2 linked regions of the Mytilus edulis genome follow. The protein of the gene in region 2 purifies or fractionates together with the protein of the main gene of each other region. This does not show direct contact. Links are inferred from orthologs where the notes say so. Each region holds a gene or a part of one and is shown on either strand. Other genes may lie near its edges. The genes, in order: centrosomal protein 20-like and centriole and centriolar satellite protein OFD1-like.

What was found.
Region 1: the proteins of centriole and centriolar satellite protein OFD1-like (region 2) and centrosomal protein 20-like purify together in Homo sapiens (co-immunoprecipitation; 3 studies listed by BioGRID and IntAct, with this or other methods). This does not show direct contact. The link is inferred for Mytilus edulis from reciprocal best matches to the Homo sapiens genes OFD1 and CEP20.

Annotation. Positions count from the first base shown.
Region 1 is NC_092352.1:76,244,053-76,255,422, forward strand, and holds the start of centrosomal protein 20-like, read right to left. Parts: upstream 5,095-11,370; 5' UTR 5,008-5,094; coding exon 4,980-5,007; intron 746-4,979; coding exon 548-745; intron 1-547. UniProt on the Homo sapiens protein: Involved in the biogenesis of cilia. Required for the recruitment of PLK1 to centrosomes and S phase progression.
Region 2 is NC_092351.1:501,183-512,948, reverse strand, and holds the start of centriole and centriolar satellite protein OFD1-like, read right to left. Parts: upstream 5,516-11,766; 5' UTR 5,332-5,515; coding exon 5,236-5,331; intron 277-5,235; coding exon 76-276; intron 1-75. UniProt on the Homo sapiens protein: Component of the centrioles controlling mother and daughter centrioles length. Recruits to the centriole IFT88 and centriole distal appendage-specific proteins including CEP164. Involved in the biogenesis of the cilium, a centriole-associated function.

The sequences.
Region 1 (11,370 bases), on a different chromosome or scaffold from region 2:
AAGTCATAGCTTATTTCTTTGTTGTTTTTCTTATCTTTACCAATGTGGATGAGTTAATTGATGTTGCTATCATAAGCAAGAAGTCAAGTTGTGTGAAGACTGTGTGTATACCATAGATTTAGTATACTAAAGGTTTGGTGTCAAATATTTTTAATAATTGCATGCATCTTTCTAATATATATTATTGACCTACACAAACATGACGAAGGAGAATTATAAGATGAGCACTCTATGGCCCTGAACTTGAAAATATAAAGTATTTGAGATCTTATTTTTCAGCCTTTTTCAAAAAGACATTAGAATGTTATTTTGATCAGTATTGTTTTCCACGAGACTGAATTTATCTGTAAAATCCAGAGTAATCAATTAACATACACATAAAAAATAATTTTGCAATGGGTAAAACTCATGTTACAATGCAAGCTATAAAAGGTCCTGAAAAGACAAATGTAAAAATACTCAATCAAGAAACTAATGTACTATTAAAAAAAATGGCTGAAAATCTTGTAAGTTTTAGATGTAGGCCTAATGAATTGGAAAAACTTACCAGCTACCAACACTGATGATGAATATCTGTACTTGTTAAAATCTAGATACTCTCTGATGAGTTCATTTATAATCAAATTTTCATTGCTAAGTTGAGGTTTATTTTCACTTTCATCATTCAGCGCATTGAACACCTCAGCTCTTATCCTGGCTTTTATCTGTCCTAGTGTTCCTTTATTCTCTAATGTATCTTTAATGACTGTAAAGAAAATAAACATACATGTATAATATTTAAATAGAATCAAAGTGCTTGTAAGCACTGAAGGGTTAAGATTGCTAAAATTTATCAGTGGGAAACACTGGTAATAGTTGAATCAACAAGAATTCTGGACAAAGGAAGATAACTCCAATTTTTAAAGTTGACATCATTGATAAAAATTTCTGGATATGTTCATGGATAAGATGGATAGAATGTTATGATCAATGCACTATATTCTGTTCATATCAAAGGTAGTGATATTCAGATAAATCTGGGAAGATTTAAATATGAAGCCAGTACAATAGGGTTTTGATTGCATTTCATGCAATCTTTAACCAAAAATAATCTGATTCCATACATGGCATTGCAGGCCTACACATATCTTAGACTATCATATTACCAACTTTTAATGACTTGTGACTCTGCATTATACATGTACATGTATAATTAAGGAACTTATACATGTAGCTGAAATACAACACCTTTATATGGTTATTTATAGTTGCTGTGCAAATGTCATTTGATGAATTTGATAGATATTTTGATATATTCAGCCTATTTTTTATGATTCTTAAATAAATGATTGAACATATGCCTGTGATTGTCATGACAATATTTATTTCATAAAAAAAAATCAACAAAACACTATAAATTTGACTTTAAAAGGGAAACCGGTTTACCTTTTGAGGCAAATTGTCAATCAATTTATTTTACAACTTGGACCTTTATATCTTATTTCATAGCAATATGGGAATGTGAAGAAAAGTGAACATGAAATGAAATGAAGGTTTGGTATCTGGTTATTCCTGTCCCAAGTTGAATGAGTTAATCCATCCCAATTCATTTTGTCACACATCCATCCTACCCATTTTTAATAAGTGTTTAATTTATAATAAAATTGGAGGATTTAATCACACCTTTTATCTGTTTTTCATATGTATATATTGTTTTTTTTAATCCTCATTTGTTTTACCATTATTGTCTTATCTATAAACCAAATTCATACTCTCATTCATGGTAAACCATTCATACCCTCTTATAATCAAAACAAGAAAACTATATATGTATATAATATATAAAACGAGTCTAAATTGAAAATTACGTTCAAACCTATGATTGCGTTGGATAAAAACCACAATTTTTATACGTGTGCATGTAAAACAAATTTCGTTGTAGAAGGGTCTAAAAACAGCACAAACAACATTTTCCGAAAGACCAAAAAAGTGAAAAAGTATATTTAAACAAAACGCATTTGACTAACAGGTCGAACAACTGATGTTCTTAAACCCTGCTGACTGCCATTGGCGATTGCCAAATAAAATTGATCACAAGATGTAACAAAATGGATCTTAATATAAATTTAATACTAAACAGAAAACAATTTAACTTGTGGCCATGATGTTATGCCACAAACATACGGTGTCAATATTTTTTTAGTACACCATATATATATATACTGTACCTACATTTGATAGAACATAACACAATGACATATCATAGTTGCCTGAAGATTTCATAATTATAGTGAAAAATGAGGAAATAAAATATTTTCCGATAATTATGAAATCTTCAGGCTATTGTGCTACTAAATATATTTTTCCCCCCAATTTTTCGCTATGAAATCTTTGTCTTATGTTCTATATAAAGTAGGTTCTCTAAATATAAAATAGCATTTTATTATTAGGATTAAGGTTATAGATGATAAGCCACTGACAATTAAGTCTTGTGGAGGGTTAACATTTTTTAAAAGATAAATCGTTGGATTTTCATAAAAAGATAAAGGGGAAAAGAAAATGACATTCAGTCTAACAAAAAACTCCTGTATGCATTGATTAAACCACAAAAGATTTGATACAATACACAGTATGTATCTTAAATTCTGGAACGGACAGACTGAGGGGACGGATCCACATGAAAGCAAAATGTTTTGGTATACAGATTCAACATTGAGGGGGGATAGGAGGGGTCCTGATCCTGAAATCCTGGTCTTAAAACCACGAAATCCTGAGGTCAGGAATTTAATTAAAGTAAATCACAACGTCCTGAAATCCGAAAAAAAAGATTCCCATATATCCCAAAAGGGTCAATCCCGAAATCCCAAGCTTACAAACCCCTGATCCTGGAGTCCCAATATTAAAAGGTCCTAGCGGACACAATTACGAACGATTTTTGAACTATGATTAATATTTTTTTTATGTAGTCAAAGACTACTTTTCTTGAATTGTTTATACCATAGAATTTAAGATGTATGTCAGGCTTTCCATTTTGCATCATATCCCACATAAATTTTTATTCATGTTAGGCATGTTAGGATACTTTAGTAAGATTTGCGTGACCGCTTTTTACGGGTCAAGAGAGCCACATATGGACGCAATTCCGAACAGCACTATATTGATATATCTTGCAGAAGAAATCAATGACAATAGTCTAGATTGATAAAGCATACATTAATCTTTATCTCAAACACAATTTCATAGGAAAATAAGATGCACAAGTTTGTTTTTTACTTCAATTACTTCAGCAGTGGTTGCAGACGAAATGTCGGTCATGTGTAAAGGAAAGATTTCTGATTTTTTTTGTTTTTGTGCAAGTTCCTCCTTTAAAGGAGCACTAAATTCAAGTTTATCCATTTCGGTTGTGTACTTATCATTCATCTATGATTTTTTTTTTATATTATAGGTCAATATTTCTTTCAGAGTTTTCTGGACTTTTCAATAAAATTAACATATTTTCTTTTGACCATAAATAGGGTAGAGTCTATAAAACGTCAATTGTGGGGTTATTTGCCAAAAGCTGAACTATTTAAGATATCCTTTGCTTATTCTGGATCATTATTATGGAATGAACTACCACACAAAATGCGTAAAGCTCAAAACACTTTTTCTTTTAAGCAAAGTATCAAGAAGTACCTAACACAATCCTGATAAGAAATGTTTGCTACAATGTATTTGTATATTTTTTATTTTCATTTGATTTTTTGACTACATGTATACATCTTAAACAGCATTATATCTTATGTTAATAACAATAAATTGAACTACATGACTGTAAATTAACTATGTGTAAATATCTGTTTTGATTGTATTGTAATTTGTATGTGAGGGCCTCAGGGAAGATTAGTTTATTGTAACTAACTGAGTTTACCCTCTTTAAATAAAGAATTTATTATTATTATTATTATTATTTGGGCAAGATAAAAGGCATCACGCATATGAACAGAATCAGGAGATATTTTTCTTTCTATATATTAACAAAAGAAGGCAATATGCACTTACCTTTATGTTTTTTTTTTATATCACTTTCAGGCCAGATTGCCGTTTTTATAATATTTGCAGAATGATTTTGTCATCGTAATCAACATTCACCAAGTGCACATAAATTGTATTTATATCATGAAAACAAGGGAATTTTAATAGGATTTTTATTTATAAAAACATTTATTGTTAAATATAAATAAATATGATCTCAGAGGGCAAACATTGGAAATCGTTCGTAATTCTCAGATCCGGACATCCTGGCATTTACATTTGTCAGGAGGTGATGTCATCCGGAATCCTCTAGATTTTTCATCTATTTGAAGGGGATTACTGATTATTTATATTGCCGATTATTTTTTAACCAGAGGTTATTGTATGTTAAAAATCAAAATAGAGATATTATATAGTGTCTTTAACAGTATTAAAAGAGTAAAATTACTATATTCAACTGGTTACGATATATATCAATTAAATTAATTTGCAATAAGTCTATGGAAAATCTAGAGGAATCTTATCCGCATCACCTCTCAACATTGTTTACATAACAAAAATGCTAATCATTGATTGGTCAGTTACATGTTGTGATGTCACTGCAGATCTGAGAATTGCGTCCAGTTGTAATTGCGTCCTGTGGGGCTATCAACATTAGACAACAATTTATCATGTTATTTCATAAATAGATAGTTCTAGTCAGTTTTGTTCTTGGGAAAATATTCTTTTATATAATATGTTTTGGAAACTATTCGGAATTTATGTCTTGTTTGTAGAAATGATTGTTAAAGTAAACAGTTTATCGTTATATAAAATAACAATAACATGACCAGACAGGTTTTTCACTAGACCATCCTCATTTACAGCTTTTGTTAACGTATCATAATGTATTATCCGGCGATAAGTTGCAGTAATTAATATAAGGTTGGCAAAAAACTGATAAAATACCAGTTTCCTTTACTCATATTTCAACTTAAACCATTTACCATCTTTTAGTTCATGTGTTGAAGACATTTTATTTACATTGGATGCGAAAAACGTAATAACCACATGAAATGATGACGTTTCCAACACTAATTATTTTTCTAAAACTAGAAAACCGATGCGGAGAATTTGTGAATATTTCCGGACAAATAGTATCGATTATTAAAGCTTCAATATTACTCTTTTAAAAATATTCAATGGATTTCCTTCAATTTTAGTTTTTGCAAAATGAAAAATATAACAATTTTCAAAATTTAAAATCAAATAATAAAAAAAATGAAACATTATTTACATAATATTTTATAATCTATTATGAATAACAGCCAGTATTACGTTTAATTATTGTATTATGAGATTACTTTTCGATCGTTGTGTTTTAGAACATATTATTTATCTTATAATTTGTTTTTTAAAATCTTTTCGTGCAATATATATTAAGCTCGCAAAATGAATTATTTGTGCATCATTGTCCTGAAAATATTGACACAAATTGTGAAATACAAAGAACTGAAATCAAACAGGAGGAAACGAAAATTGAAATGTGAATGTTTTCATCTTTTTATTTGTTTATTGCCTCATTAAACGATATTTATCATGTTTATGCATATTGATTGAAGATGAAAGGAAATTAATGACAATCCTGAGTTTTCAACAGGTGTTCATTATTTACAATGATTGTATATTCTGGCGCGTGTAATTGTATAGTCCGCAGTGGCGGATCCAGGGGGGGGGGGGGTTCCGGGTGTGCGCACCCCCCCTTTATTTTTGCCGATCAATGCATTTGTATCGGGACATATGTTTTGCACCCCCCCTGCACCCCCCTTTGCCCTGGGTTAGCACCCCCCCTTTCGAAAATTCCTGCATCCGCCCCTGGTCCGACGCGTGTACAAAGTTGAAGGTGTTAATTGGCTGTTATTGTAGCAATAAAACAGGGGACAAAGCGTGGCTGAGAGTTCTATAAATAAAGCATCGAATTGACATAACAAGAGTACACTTAGAGCATAGTATTAAAGGGAAACTTCGCAAAAAAATCAAAAATTGATATTATGTCCATTCTGTATAAAAATGCTCAAATTTATAGATATTAAAGTTTTATTCCGCTAAATAAGAGATCACCATCGATTTTAAATTTTTATTATCAGTTCTCTGAGCTCCGCCATCTTGTCACCTTCTCCGATGAAAAATCCCGATATGTCTATAAACCACAAAGGAACAAAACTACAGTAAACGATGTAGTCGTAATTGCGTGTCGATATCTTGTCAATCGTACGGTTGTTTTATCTGACTGACTAACTTGATACGGAAAATGGTCTTATTTTTTTAAATTACCATATAGTCTGTTATTTTTAAACTGATAATATTGTAATTAGTTAAAAAGTCAAAGTTCAAATCATAAATAAGTGTTCCGTGGAAATTGTTTTCGAAAATCTAATTCGTTCATAATTCTTTAAAGTAATAAACTTTATTTAAATAAATTCGGATCTTCCCTCATCTGATCACCAGCATGGCTAAAGGTATTACTCTCAAAGGTATTGGAAGGGGTGTAAGGTGACACGTGCAGGTATTCAATCGATTTCCTGTCCGGCGGGCTTGCAAGTTCATGCATCGTTTCACTTCTGTAGGTAGTGATCAGTGTACACGACCGTAACTTATAACTTGCCATTTTAAACTATGCAAGGCCGTAGCGCATGTCCAAATCAACTGAGGCAAATTTGTTTAGGGGTGTTCGGGAGCCTGAAACAGGAGGAGCATATTTCAGCATTTCTATGGGAGAGGTCAATGTATTTATAATAAAAAAAATAAAAAAAAAAAAAAACAATATAACAGAAATGCGTTTTTTTGTTATTAGCTAGCCTAGTAAGCTTAGTCACAAAACAAGTTTTAAATTTTTTTAGGGGTGTTCGGGAGCCTGAAACAGGAGAAGCATATTTCAGCATTTCTATGGGAGAGGTCAAATGTATTTATAAAAAAAAAAAAAAAAAAAAACAATATAACAGAAATGCGTTTTTTTTTTTTTTTTTTTTTTTTTCCAGCTAGCCTAGTAAGCTTAGTCACAAAACAAGTTTCAATATTAAAGTTAATCTCTATTGGTCAACCAAAACTTTCCGATTCTCCTGTTACCTGTACTATCGAAAAGCTTCAACACACGTTCTTTGTCAACTATATCATTCCTATATGCATATAGAGCATGGCAAGCCCACAAAGCCTGTCACCACCCATTTTCCCCAGGTTTTCAAACGCCTTCAACTTGAAAACGATCTCTCACAACAGACTGATGTGACAGGCAGAGTTTAAAGTACTTGCAATATTCTGAAAACATTTGGGTATAAGTCTTTGTTAACTAGCTTAATTGCTGTCTTGAGGCTTCCTTCATCAAGCATTGCTACTGTCTTTCTTACCCACCTTTCAAGTTCACATGTTAACTCTTCCATGTTAGTTACGACGTACGGAAATGCTTGGAAAAGGTGTTCAATTAATTCCGGTTAACTTGCCTACATTTTTTGGAATAAGGTAATATCCTAACATTTGATTTTTTACCTCATCAGGAAACCGGCGTTGCATTTCATTAATGACGTGATCCAAAAATGGGGAAAATAAATTAATTCGCTAATGCTGCTCTGCAGTAGAGGCAGTTGCTATACTTAAAGGGGGTGCTTATACTCACGCGTTACCTTTTTCATCTTTTTTTCTCTTTAACGAACCCGTATTCAACCAGTTTTGTAACGACATTAAGATTTGTTTCATTTTTTTTATTTTTGATTTGTATTGGACACACTGTATGTTATGTGTCTGAAGATGATTCGAAACTCGCATACTGATTATTGAAAATACATAATTGAAAAAAAAAATACACTTCTAAAGTTTTGTCGTCGGTTCAAACGTGAGGCATTTGCCTCATTTGCTTCCATTACGCTACGGCCCTGCTATGAGGTGCATGTATAATACACATTTTTGTCTTGCGTGTCCGAAAGTGATATAATATACTAGTCATTGCTGAACTCATACGCTAGTTTATAAATAACATTTCTGGTGTAAAGAATATTATTTATAAAAAAAAATAATACAAATTTATTTTTTTGAAGAAATACAAATCTATTTACATATTTTTCCAAGGATTAATTTGGGAAAATGTAATATATACTCGTTGTCAATAGTTTAGGACAGATTGGAACATACCAGAATTATTGATTTAAAAAAATGTGCGCACTTGTCGACGATTCGTGTATACACACGCCTGGGTAGAAAGTTACGGAACTATAGTCAGTAGCGCAATTTAAAATATGTATACATTGAACATAAGAAAGAAACATACATTTTGTGTAAATTGTGGTAAAAGTTTTGTAAATAGACTAGTCCACGTATGCCAACAGTATGTAATCAACGAATTCGATAGACTATTGTATACCAAAAGAAGCAGAAGAAAAAAAGAAACAATTTGATTTAAATACAGGTCAATTTATAACTTGCTTTGGTTCATCGAAGTTAAGAACATAGTAAACTCACAGATTTATATATCAATTAGATTGTTCTCGAATAAAGGACGAAATTCGTCATCATCACAATTGTTCCAACATTCATATAAAATATATGCAACTGGACGTACACTAATAATCCCCAAGGGATGTGAATATTTTCTAGGAAAACTATTGAGTATCAATTTCGGGATTTATTTTCTTTCTTGATATTCAATGACAGCAATTTAAAGAATAAACTGCTTGTCGGATATTTGTCCGCTTTAGGGGTATTCTTGCAAGTTGAACAGACTTATAATAACATTCAAAACTAGGGAAAGATAACATTAAATTCGTTGTCTTTTAATTTTAAACATCGTTGGTCAAATAATTATTTAAGTATATATATACGTTGGGAGACGACGATTAATATAGTAGTCTCAGATTTTAATAAGGACGTTCCCGATTATGAATAAATTTGGTTGACGTTTTTGAACCTCTTAAGTACAAAAGTAATTTTTCTTTATTCGTACATATTATATTCCGCTTCGGTAGAGTTATCTTCAGATAGTTTCAGATATTAATTAATACATGGCTTTCAAAAGTCTAAATGTAAGTGTTCTCGTACATGATTTTTTCGCCTAATAAAGACAAATAAAAATGATTTAGTAAAGCTATTTCTAATTTCTAAGTCCCCCTTTTTTATGAGACATAAATCAAGGACAAGACTTGTATATCATTTCATTCTGACATATGAATAAAGTTTCCCGTCTTTAACCGAAAATTGTGTATTTCTAAGTAAATTAACTTATTTGAATTCAAATAAATAATAGCACCAAATATAATTAAATAATTCCACGGCGACCAATTTTTATTTGTCACCAACTTGAATATGTATTTTTAATGTGTGTATTAAATGCTCCCACTGATCCGAATAGACAGTCACACCTGGCAAGGTGTACCCTAGAGGCGTGGTTAAATACCGAAGTGCAAATAACAATTTACCTTTCAACAAGCCATCTACGAGTATTGCCACAAAACCGTGAATACACACATCGTATAAACCTAGTCATAGCAGAGATAGTAAAAGGGCAATAAGAGTACACCAACATATTGTCTTTACAGATTATTGTACTTTAATTTGTCCACCTTATCAGTCCGAAAATGCATTTATTAAAAATAAATTTATAACTTTTTGTGTTGTCTACAAAAATAATTCGAATATATACGATTAACATAGATAATTTATCTCACGAATGAGTACAATTGAACGTCTGTGCGTTTTATCTTCTTATTATCGGATGGTTATTAGATAAAGCATAAGTCATCGGCGCGCTTACGATTACGTTAAAATATGATTAAAAACCAAGACTTTTAATGATTTTATTTTAAATCCCGGCATGCAAAAATCAGGAGAAAACGTCACGACCTACAGGAAGTAGTTGATATTTTTTCATTAATTATTGAATTTCTCCTTTATTACTGCACATAGCGATAAAACTTTGTGAATATATATATTATGTCATAATGAACATATTTAAACCATAAGTAAAAAATCGTGAATTTTCCCTTTAAAGGACTTTTGTCTATAAATTTGGACCCCACAAAATTGAAAAAGGGACCAAAAATTTTTAAAAAAATGCATGCATCGGATAAACTTGTTATTGAAGGCATGACTGTAACAATAGGATGAATATACAAAAATATCTTATTCTGGGGTCTCATTGGGGGGGGGGGGGGGGGGGGGGGGTCTGATCCCGGATCCCGCTTACTGTTTTGGCAGATTCCCGTATTCCGCTTATTGTTTTGTCAGATTCCCGTATCCCGCTTATACTATGCAGTTCTAATTTTTTGTTATTATCCGTGTCCCGCTAGACTTCATTTCCCGTTTTTCACTACACAATCATTTGACTTTCACCTGTCACGCTTGCTAAAAATCGGCAATCCGGCGTGACGCTTATACCCAAATGCGACCCACTATTTTACTCTATTTTGACTCATATTAAGCCCATTATAAATATATTAAAAAAGTAGCGTAGATTTTTTTTATCCCTTTTTATCCCGTCTAGTTCCGTTTTTGAGCCATATATAGATGTCGTATGTGACAATGAGACAACTCGGCTCCATCCGAGTCACAATTTATAAAAGTAGACCATTAAACGTCAAAATACGGTCTTCAGCATGGAGTAGTAATTAGTGGTGAAGTGTCATGGAAATGGATACAAGAAATAAGGATAAAGATCCCTATACGCTTTATAAGAAACTAAATGGAATACATTTGAAATAAATGTCATTTCTATTGAATTTATTAGAGTGTTTTAAAACCAAACTTTCCTCCGTAAGTTAAATTTTATCAAATCTTTCTCTTACTTTATCTATTGTTTGAGCAAGTCGGCTAAATTAAGGCTTTACAGCTAATTTCCTAATGCATGGAAAGAAAACTTTGGTTGGCTTGCTTGCTTTGTTTGTATAATTGTATATACAAACTTTGTAAATAAGATTGACATTTTTAAACAATATGAATAGGCATAGTTTAACCTGTATTTTTAATATTTGAATTAAATTGGGTGTTATCATAATGATTATCCAATAAAAAAAGCAAGCAAATCAACTAAAGTCTTGCTCTCCATGCTTAAAGAAATGAGCTGTAATAGATAAAAAAAATAATAATTATACAGTGAAAATGCACCGCATATACAATACTAATGATTCGCTCCACAGTTAAAATGAAAGAATAGTATCATTATTCGACAGTAAACATGACTAGCATTACGAAATCATCACAGTGGAATTTAGTTAAATATGAAGAAACTGAATGACAAAACATATTCTACGTTATACAACTTTAATAATTGTATTAAAATGAATATTTTTTACTGCAACAACATCTCACCTGTTAGTTATAAAGCACCTGTACGATCTATTCGTGAAATGTCCTAAA
Region 2 (11,766 bases):
TAATCATACTGACAACTCCTAAGGTGATCATTGACTCGACTGTGAGCTGTGTAGTATTGACCTATTTATACTGACCTTGTCCTTAGCTGTTCTACTTTCAGGAAGGAACACACTAAATGAGTAATCATACTGACAACTCCTAAGGTGATCGGCGACTAGACTGTTAGCTGCTCTGTGTAGTAAAGATCCTTCATCTGGCAGTTTGAGATCTCTGACCGATAAGTGACCTTTATAAGACTGTTGTAATTCTTCAACTATTTTGTTTCTCAACTGGCTCTGAAAAAAAAGTGGAATATTTATTATACATCTGAAATCTGTTGACAGATATACCATGCATTTAAAAGGAGCGAAAAGCAGACGTGCTACATGTATGTTATCAGTCAGAGTTAAGACATAAAAAGGACTTGGAGGCTACTAATGGAGGGTAGTAGTAGCTTTAAAATTACTGTCAAGCGTCAAATGGTCATTTTCGGCTACCATTAGCATCAAATTTCACTTTGATTTGTCAAAATATCCTTAACGTGATTCGTCAGAGGTCCCAAATAAATATCATCACTGTTGTTGTTTTTTTTGATAAAATTTAATTGATTCATCAAAATCATTCTATTTTTTTTTTCATCTTAAAGAAAGTGCACATTTTATCATTATGCATCAAAAATTAATGATAATGTCAATGGTTATGGTTAATTACTGTTATTCGTCATGAAGGCATTGAAGGTACCCCCATTATCACCCTCTTATTGCAATTTTAGGGGCAGGATGATTATGAAAATAAATAACTCAGCCTTGATAATCACAAAAACAAATGGTTTGTTAACAACTATTTTAATTCCTTAGTGATAGATCCGTGTTTTACGTCTTTTACTTGTTCGGATACTATTAATAATAACTATAATTTTGTAACTATTTTCTATTTTCTAAACTACATATGTACAGTTATGCTACAAATCTACAACTCTCCTTTTTGGCTACACGTGCTGTTCTTATCTATAGTCATGCATATTCATTAGCTATGTAGGCGTGTCAAAATCGTATCATACGCCATGATAATGACCAGCCAGTACACACTGTAATGATTTCATTAACCAGTATTAAAAAGATAAACATAACATTAGCGAGGACAATTATTTTTTCGTGTTTATCTACATGTAAACTACGGTTATACAATTTTAATATATAGAGACTCTCTGTATTCTGTCTACTGTTTTCTTTGAAATGTTAACTATTTAAGGGGTCATACCAGTTGCATACAATGTATATATTAAAATAAGTAAAACATAGGAAACAAGAATGTGTCCATGGTACACGGATGCCACATCGGCACTATATTTAAGTTTAGAGTTGATTGGACTTCATCTTCATCAAAAACTACCTCGACCAAAATCTTTAACCTGAAGCGGGACAGACGGATGGACGAACCAACAAATGAACGCACGGATGCACAGACTAGAAAACCTAATGCCAATAAATGGGACATAAAAATTTATTGTTGAAAGAGAAAGTAATGATTTGGCAAATATGAAGTAGGGTAGAGATTAGAGGGAGGTGGGACCTTTTTTCGGGACGTTGGGATCAGATCGGCTCAGGATTTGGGGATTGATCCTTACAGGATCTAGGAATATATTTTTCCATTCAGGGATTTCAGGATATGAATGTCTTTAATTCTGCAACTCAGGATTTCATGTTTTTAAGCCCGGGATCTCGGGATCAGGACCCCTCCGACAAATACCTCATGTTAGAAATTTCAAAACCAAAAGCTTGTCTTCATATCAAATTGTGTTCACAGCGAGTGTCTTGGGCGTAGCCGTTTTTTTCCAGTATCAATGTTTCTTATTTATTTGTCTTTTGTTCATTGATTGCTCTCCTGAATTCTGTTAGTTTTGCATTCCATTTGTAAATTGTTGTAATTAAGTAATTATGTTGTTAACTTGATCAAGAGTTTAAAAAAATCAAAGCGCTGTAAGCGCTGAAGGCAGTTAACCAAAAACCAAGGCAACCGTAATTATGAAAACTGTGGCAATGTTGCCTCAACATTAAACATTCATATATAGTACATTCATGTTTATCTAATGATTTATTTATTAAGGCAAATAATTTATATGTTATCAAGGTTTCAAAAGCAATGCATATATCAATGTATATATTTTATGGTGAGTCTGCAGTGGTACAAGTTCCCAATGATTGCAGTTGTTCTACTTGGTAGTTAACCTTGGTTTTATTTGACTGCTAGAAGTTCAATTTGACATAGTATGAACATGTAATAGTATGAATGGACTGGTTTCCCTGGAAAGAAAACTCAGTTTGTGTTCTATAGTACAAAAGTTATGAGACACGAATCAGATAAATGTTTACTACAACAGGGATCAAAGATCCGCCACTGGGGGTAGGGTGACCCTAGGGACTTCCCCTACATTTCATTTTATTTGTTATATAGTCCCATACATGAATATATATGGTTTAGGAGTAGGGTTCTCATCGGTTTCCAAGTTCTCAAACATGAAGGGTAGGGTGACCCAAGGGACTCCCCCTATATTTCATTTAATTAGTTATATTGATCCATACATGAATATATATTGTTTTGGTGTGGGGATCTCGACCGTTTCCAAGTTCTCAAACAGGAGGGTTGGGATGACCACAGGGACTTCCCTTATATTTCATTTGATTTGTTATATTGTCCCATACATGAGTATATATGGTTTAGGGTTTAGGATCTTGACCATTTCCAAGTTCTCAAACAGGAGGGTGAACAGTGACCTCAGGGACTCCCCCTATCTTTCATCTGATTTGTTATATTGTCCCATACATGAATATATATGGTTTAGGGATGGGGATCTCGACCATTTTTAAATTCTAAAACAGCAGGGGTGGGGTGACCCCTAGCGACTCTTCCTATATTTCATTTGATTTTTCATATTGTCACAAACATGAATATATATGGTTAAGGGGTGTGGATCTCGACCGTTTCCAAGTTCTCAAACAGGAAGGGGTGGGGTAACTCCAGGGCCTCCCCCTATATTTCATTTTTTATTTATTATATTGTTCTATACTTGAATATATGCAGGGGCGGATTCAGACTGGGGAGGGTTGCGGGCTTGCACCCCCTTAAATTTGCAAAGCATGGGTTATTCTCAGCTTAATAAAAAAAATTCCAATAATCTGCCCCTCATATGGTTTAGGGGTGGGGAGCTCGACCGTTTCCAAGTTATCAAACAGGAGGGGGTAGAGTGGCCCAAAGAATGCCACCTATATATCATATGATTTACTTACATTAAGGTATATATAGTATAGTTGCATTATTTGTGAAAATAAAGAATGAAACTTTCAGCTACTTTAATTGACCCTTCAAAATTGAGAAAAAACAAATAACCCCTCGAAATTGCAGTAATATGTTTACACTTTAAAAGCATCTCACATGCATTAGCATCATTTATCATTAAAGAAAATTTAGACTGTGACCATGAACATGTATATTGTTAGATATACTGTTCCCAGCTGTCACGTTGTATTGGCTTTTTAAATTAAAATTTATCAAAAAGTAATTTTTAGTTTCTGAATAAAATATTTTTCTGCTTTTTCTTTCTTTTACATATATCTTTTGGTTTACAATACTAGTGTTTATATTGATTTACCATGCATAGATGTATTTTTTCACCTGCTTGGATTTATTTTGTAAATGATCGTCAAACCCGGAATTACTCTATCCGCTTCCAGAAATCGGATCCGATTTTGTAAAATTTTGTCTTCACGGCCGCCATTGTTATGTGTTTACAATGTTGTTTTTGTCAATCAGATATGATTTTACTCGAATTTATACAATATTTGTTGGCGATTTTCTGTATAAAGCTAGCGGTTGAACAAAATGAACATCGCCGTTATGAAAAATAATGATAAAAATAAGTTTTTAGCTCGTTTAATTGGAGACTTTGGTGAACATGGTGAAAAGGTTTGCAAAGTAATTTCTTATTTTCTTTCAAATATAAGGCGACTACGTCGGGCGTAGCTAGAAACCAACTATCCTAGTCGAAATTCCGCTTGCAAAAATGGAAGGTCTCGGACCACCGCTAATTTGCACACCTGCCTCCAAATTGAAAAGCTACGAAAATTTCTTTTTCTAATTTGAAATTGCCGCCAACAGCATGAACAGTTGAATTATATAATAGACTACTGACGTAGTTGTACTACGTATTGATGACAAACAATATTCCTACGACTTTTGTCATTTGGGAAATCTAAACTGCTTGTCTTCAGAGATTTTCGGCGATTAAATATTTCATACAATTGTTCTTTGACATCTTAGCTAAAAGCACAAGTCATAATGAACTACACAAGGATTTTTAATAAGCACTACTTCCTATGTGTAACTTTAAAACTTTTGGATAAATCGACGATCATTTAAGGTTTTTCTGGTCATTTTTTTTGTAATCCAGAATAAAAAGTATTAAAAAAGTGTTCAATTAATTATATATAACATAGTAACAAGCTAGATAATAACAATGGCAAGTATTTCAGGATTTATTGGGTAGAACACAAATCTAGGGTGCTCGCATAATGCAGCTTAACTGCATAAAAACAGCAACCACATACCATGCATACTGAACTATGTGAATTAAATTTTTGCTTGATCCTACATATTGGTTGATTTAAACAGTTCTATAGCTTCTTGGGGACTTCAGTGACTTCATAACCCATTAAAAAAAATTTTGCCTCGTTCCGCTCGGCCAAAAATAAAGACTAAAGACTAAAGTCATGAAGGTGTATTTTCACTTGATATTACTAGGGTTTATATCAATATAAACTATGCAAAAATGTAGTGGGTTATTTAAGGTTAAATTATGAATAATATGGGAGGGTCTGGATGGGGGGTCTGTTATTCTGTAAACATTTAATTTTCACCCCTTTTTTCTCTAATTAATCTTTAAAACAATAACACCTTTTTTCTCTAATCTTCCAAAAATTAACCCCTTTTTTCTCTAAACTTCATTTTTTTTGCCCGTTATTCTCTAATCTTTATTTTTTAAGGGCATTATTCTTTAAACGTTTAACCCCATCCAAACCCTCATATGGGGCAGAGACATGTAGAAAACACTATAGTATGCACCGAGAAACATGTCCACACATGTTTATCACACCAAAAATTACGTTTTTCTTCTCCTGATTTTTTTAGTTTTACAATCCGTACGTGAAGTTAATGGATTGCTTGTTCATAACTGCGCCTACGTGTATTCAAATATATACCTTAATCGTGTCTACAGCCCCTTTATCCCGAAGACTGTGATACAGTCGATTACGAAGTGCTTCTGCCGACAAGTATTCAGGTTTATCCTCCGCCATTCTATTAGTTTTCTAATATTGGCCTACTATATAATTGTTAAACAATCAACGTTTTTGTCTCGCAAAGTTTTATCTTCATAACTTCCCTTTCTTTTCTCTTATAACAACGTAGAGACCTGTCATTAACCAGGTGTTTCATTTGTTTTCATATATCAGCCATTTTCGAAAATAGCGCTTTGTTTACATCGGGCTTAATGTTTTAAAGCCTTTCCATTGGATAGAAGAAAGGCTCTGGCTATTAACGCACACCGGTCTCACTAATTAGCGACAACAAGAATTTTAGCGACAACAAGCGTCAACAAGCGACAAGAAGCGACAACAAGAATTATTTTAGCGACAACAAGCGACAAGAAACTATTTAGCGACAAGAAAACATTTTTTTTTAAATTAAAATTAATTATTGCAATAAATATTAAAAGAATATGCAAAAGAAAATAATTTTAGCGACAAAAAAGTTAAAATTGATAGATATAAAAAAATGAACTTGGACATTATTTACATAATATTTTATCATCTATTATGAATAACAGCCAGTATTAATTATTGTATTATGAGATTACTTTTCCTTGTGTTTTAGAACATATTATTTATCTTATAATTTGTTTTTTAAAACTCTTTTCGTGCAATATATATATTAAGCTCGCAAAATGAATTAGTTGTGCATCATTGTCCTGAAAACATTGACACAAATTGTGAAATACAAAGAACTGAAATCAAACAGGAGGAAAATCTCATTTAATGTTCCACGCGACTCGTTAATCTCATTTAATGTTCCACATTGTGTGTACTGTTATTACCTTAGGGTGAAGCCACATCTAATGTTGTTCCTATCAAGAACAATGAATTATACTGTTAGAAAGGAAATAATATTTCATGTTTTTGTTTCAATAAATCCTTCAAAGGAAAGTTGACCTTTTTTTTGTTTTTGTTTCAATTTTATAGCGTGTGCATTTCCATTGCTCTACCAAACTGACTGTTCAAGTCATTCAACTTTTATGTTTAGTATAAAGTAAATTGTCAGCATTTCAGTATTATTCTCGCAAAAGTACGTGCTCTGTGCAATTGCTAGAATCTAAAACGCAACTCGGTTTACCTTTGATTAATAAATCAGTTACTTAGAACGTCTTTGATACTGCGCGGTATCAAACGAACCCTTTGGTACAGGGTTTCAATTTCCTTTTGTGCAAGGGAAAAAAGGTTACGACTCGAACTTCGATAAATGCATATTAGAAGTATTATAATTATACTATAGTGGACACGTCCGTTCATGATATCCCCTTGGGCAAGGGTAAATATTGAAACGCACTTATTTTGTCACATCGCCGTGTCAAACTGAATCCCTTGGGATAAGGGTTTTCCTCTTGAGCAAAGGAAATAGTAAGGGAAGTTTCATGAAACATTTTTAGAAAATATTTTTAAAACATCGGAGTGATATTGTTAAGAATGTTCTACTTATATACTTTTAAAATGTTTTTCAGAGGTAGAACCTACATATCTTCTGAACATTTATAAAACATTCATACAAAATATCTTAAAAAATATTATCGAAAACATTTTTATGAATATTCTTACATCATTGTAAAAATATTTCCAAAAAATGTTTTAAATAAATGTTTTAAAAATCAAAGAAAAAATATTCACATAACATCACGAAAATATTTGTTTGACAACGTTTTGATAAGACATTTATACAACCTTATAAAAATGTTTTGAAAATGTTTTGTGCTACCTGGGAGTACACTTAGAGCATAGTATTAAGCAAATGAATCAAAATATTATATTCCATTATGCCCGCTCCATATATATCTCCATTCGTTTATTCATACTTTGACTTTGATGAAAACAGATACATACATTATCTTATACATATTCTTCATATTTAAAAATTAAAAAAAAGAAGCTCAATCTCTTTCTTCTTCACAAATGTTAAATTTCTTCATCTACCAATATACTAATATAAACTTCAAAATCTCTTTCTTCCTCACAAATGTTTCATTTCTTCGTCTATCTATATAATAAACCATTTTAATAAGACATATCTGCTCGTATATTTATAAAAAAAACATTAAATACAAATTTCTTTATATCTAATAAAAAAAAATGTTTTCTTGTCGCTAAATAGTCTTCTTGTCGCTTGTTGTCGCTAAAATAATTCTTGTTGTCGCTTCTTGTCGCTTGTTGACGCTTGTTGTCACTTCTTGACGCTTGTTGTCGCTAATTAGTGAGACCCACGCACACGTATAAGTACTACTAATAATTTCTATCGATAGAACTATACATGTGTCAACTTCCGAAGCAAGGTTGTCGGCTCTCCGAACATTCCCGAAGTCCTGCGTTTACACTTGGAAGTTGTACATGTGTGTGGGTACGGAAGCAAATTAACTCGTACCAACGGAAACTCGTACCATGTTAACTCGTACCAAAAAAGTTAACTCGTACCAACTTAAAGTCGTACCACTGGGAAGTCGTACCATTAAAAAAACATTTTGTGGTGTTTTTTCTTTCTAAAATTAATAAAAAAAAAAAAGTACTACCATTAAGCCTATGTATTATTGTCATTTTGTTTATTTTCTTTGGTTACATCCCAGATAGCAATACTTTGTGGCCAACATTGGTGGTTGGTTGGCACAGTTGGTAAATAGTTGGCGTTGGCAGCACAACAAGAAACCGACGTTGGCCCAACAAAACTCAGCCAACAGTTATTTTGACACTATTGGCCCCTTGTTGGCCCAACAGAACTCAGCCAACAGTTATTTTGACACTATTGGCCCCTTGTTGGCCCAACGACTTTCCACCAACTGTCATTTTTGTGTTATTGGCCCAATGTTGGCCCAACATTTTCTTACCAACTGTTATTTTTAAAGTAGCTTGCCCAACGATATTTGACTTACGTTATCCATTGGTTCAGTGTAAGATCTTCTGACTGAAACTACTGAACCAATTTTATTCGAACTTTATTTGAATGATTCTATGTTATCGTAGAGAATATAGATTGTGTTTGAAGGGCATTGAGGACTTAGTAAAAAATCAAATAATAAAGTCTTCCCAAATAGGACTATTTTAAACCGTCTGTGCCAAGAGCTAGAAAATTCTTAATATTTTGAATAATTCAAAAGTTTTTAAAACAGTATATTTATAAAAAAAAAAACCAACATATCATTGATATTTCATGACAATATTGAAATATGAGCCAACATTGTGCCAACAATATGCCAACGTATTAAGTTCTTATCTCCCCGTATTATACCACAGATTTTTTTATTTTTTTATAGATATTATTTCAAAGTGCGAACCAAAAAATGTGCTCTTCATTCTTTTTATCTAATATTTTCAAATCTGTGTAGTCATTTAAATGTATTTATCTTAATGATTGAATAATTTTATGCACAAACAAAAAATACTTAAAACCAGCCCAAAAAAACAAATAAAATTTGAATATAGTTTCTGCAAGTTGTTTAACTAATCAACTGAACTCAGCTGCTCATTTGACACGAGTGTAATATCATACTCTCCACATGACAGCCGGGATTGACCTGCCAATATAATTATAGATTATATGCTCAACGAGATTGATTTTCTCGCTTGAGCTGGTACAGCGAAAGTGAGAAAAGCAATCGAGTTGAGATGACCAATGATAATCTGTTTATCGCTATTTTACCTATGACGACGTTGTCAATTTCATGTCAATTTCGTTAGCAACGCCACGTGGCCTCCTTAGTTTCATAATTTTTCCATCTCAAGCGAGAAGCATGATATGAAAATTATCACAAAAAAAGATCAAAAGAAAAATGCACAAAATAGCGATAATATACATTATATACTAGAACTAAATAATTCTTAATACATAATATCAAATGCCTGAAAAACATGTTTGACAGACTGAGGCCATCGTTGGCATACTACTGTTCGACCAACATTGGTCCAACATAAATTTAAAACTAGACGACGTTGGTAGACTGTTGGCAAATAGTTGACATTGTTGGCAGATTGTTGGCAAATAGTTAACCTTGTTGGCATACTGATGTTGGGCCAACAAAGACCCAACATGTTGGGCCAACTGAGGGCCGATGAGCAAAATGACGTTGGCCCAACATATTTTTCCAACATTGGCCCAACAATGTTGCCAACAGAATGCCAATATTGGCCCAACACATGTTTGCTATCTGGGATCTTCTGACATCAGACTCGGACTTCTCTTGAACTGAATTTTAATGTGCGTATTGTTATGCGTTTACTTTTCTACATTGGTTAGAGGTATAGGGGGAGGGTTGAGATCTCACAAACATGTTTAACCCCGCCGCATATTTGCGCCTGTCCCAAGTCAGGAGCCTCTGGCCTTTGTTAGTCTTGTATTATTTTAATTTTAGTTTCTTGTGTACAATTTGGAAATTAGTATGGCGTTCATTATCACTGGACTAGTATATATTTGTTTAGGGGCCAGCTGAAGGACGCCTCCGGGTGCGGGAATTTCTCGCTACATTGAAGACCTGTTGGTGACCCTCTGCTGTTGTTATTTATTTGGTCGGGTTGTTGTCTCTTTGACACATTCCCCATTTCCATTCTCAATTTTATTAAGAGGTATTGAGAAAAATAACAGTATATATTCATAATTAAACACCAATCAAATGCTTTTAAATAAGTTGGTACGAGTTAGCAGTGGTACGAGTTTACATTGGTACGAGTTATTTTTTAGTGGTACGAGTTAACGTTGGTACGAGTTTACATTGGTACGGGTTAACTATAATTCGTGGGTACGACATGATTTTATTCGCTGCTTGATAACTTGGACTATAACAAACTCGGCCTTGATTATTTATATGCAGAAATAAATTGAACAAACTCGGAATACGGTTGCTGTAGTAGATTGTGTTGTAAACGGTTTTTTCTGACATTAAAAAACAAAGGAGTAGGTTCAGTAAGACCCCTTTTTGGCCCCAAAATATAACAGTTTTACAAAATTGTTAAAATGTAAACCTTTAGTTATTTATTGGACAGTAGAATGCTTCTGCTACATAAATATGGGCTGTTTTTGACAATACAATGCACATATATCCGGTACTACCACCATTAAGTCATGCTAAATTACTGAAATCCTCATAATTCTAGCATTTTAGTTAAATTTTAGACGGTTTTCGTGTAAAACGAAAGTGGCCGCATTCGTGTTCATCCTTTATATTAAAATGTAAGTTGTATTTTATGATAATACATAACATATATAAAGGTTGAGGATGAACACGGATGCGGCCATTTTCATTTTTACCAAAAACCATCTGAAAAGTGACATTTTTCGGCATATTAGGTAGATTTTTCATATTAGACCTTGAATCAGATCGTTTTTAATGACTAAATCTGTTAAAATCTTTCACATAAACTAATTAATTCAAATAAAATAGACACTTAAGTGTTTAAAAAGTGGTCAAAATCTTTCGTCAGATGAACCTGAAATTTGAGGCCAAAATCGGTCCTTACCGGACCTACTCCTTTATACATAAAAATTATATACGAATTTATGAGATAATATGTTATAGTCCGAGTTTGTTTTTGACCGAGCTGTGAACAGTATATCTTAACTTAATATTTATGTTACTGGACCGAGCTATCAGTATTTCACGGTATCACGATACCCTAGTTAATATCCAAATACAAATTAATTTGTTCCAATGAAAACAATTTTGGGTTATATTTATATATATCCAATGATTCATTTTATTGGTACAGAGATTTTATTATTATTAATCTTTTTTGGTACAGTGCATTAAACATTATTACAAATTAATTTTTAACATTAATATGTAAAATGATAAATCTGGGAAAGATCGGCACCAATATCTGACGCCAAACAATACGGACCAGAGGTAACTGAATAGTTATCAAAGGTATCAGAATTATAATTTAATACGCCAGACGCGCGTTTCGTCTACTTAAGACTCATCAGTGACGCTCAGATCAAAATAGTATAAAGCCAAACTAATACCAAGCTGAAGACCCAAATTACAAAATGTTGTGCCAAATATGACTAAGGTAATCTATTCCTTAGATAAGAAAATAAATCCTTAGTTTTTCAAAAAAATCAAAGTTTTGTAACCGAAAATTTATGAAAATGACCCGGTACCACGATTTCCCGAGAAATACAAGAAAAAACGTGATATCCCCAAAACAAACTGATATATCCCGAGAATTTGTTTTTGTTTTTATGGTGTTATGCTACTTTAATACAGTTATCATAACTTCATTCGGGTATTTAAGCTCATCAAATAATTTCCTTTCTTTCACATTCATATGAAAAACTGATTGTTGTTTTAAATAAATATCGTTATTGTTATAATCTTTATTCTCATAAACCATATTAGGTACAACGGTACAGAAGTATACATGATACATAAAGCAATGAAAACAAACTTATTTATAATAACATCTTATACACAAACATACACA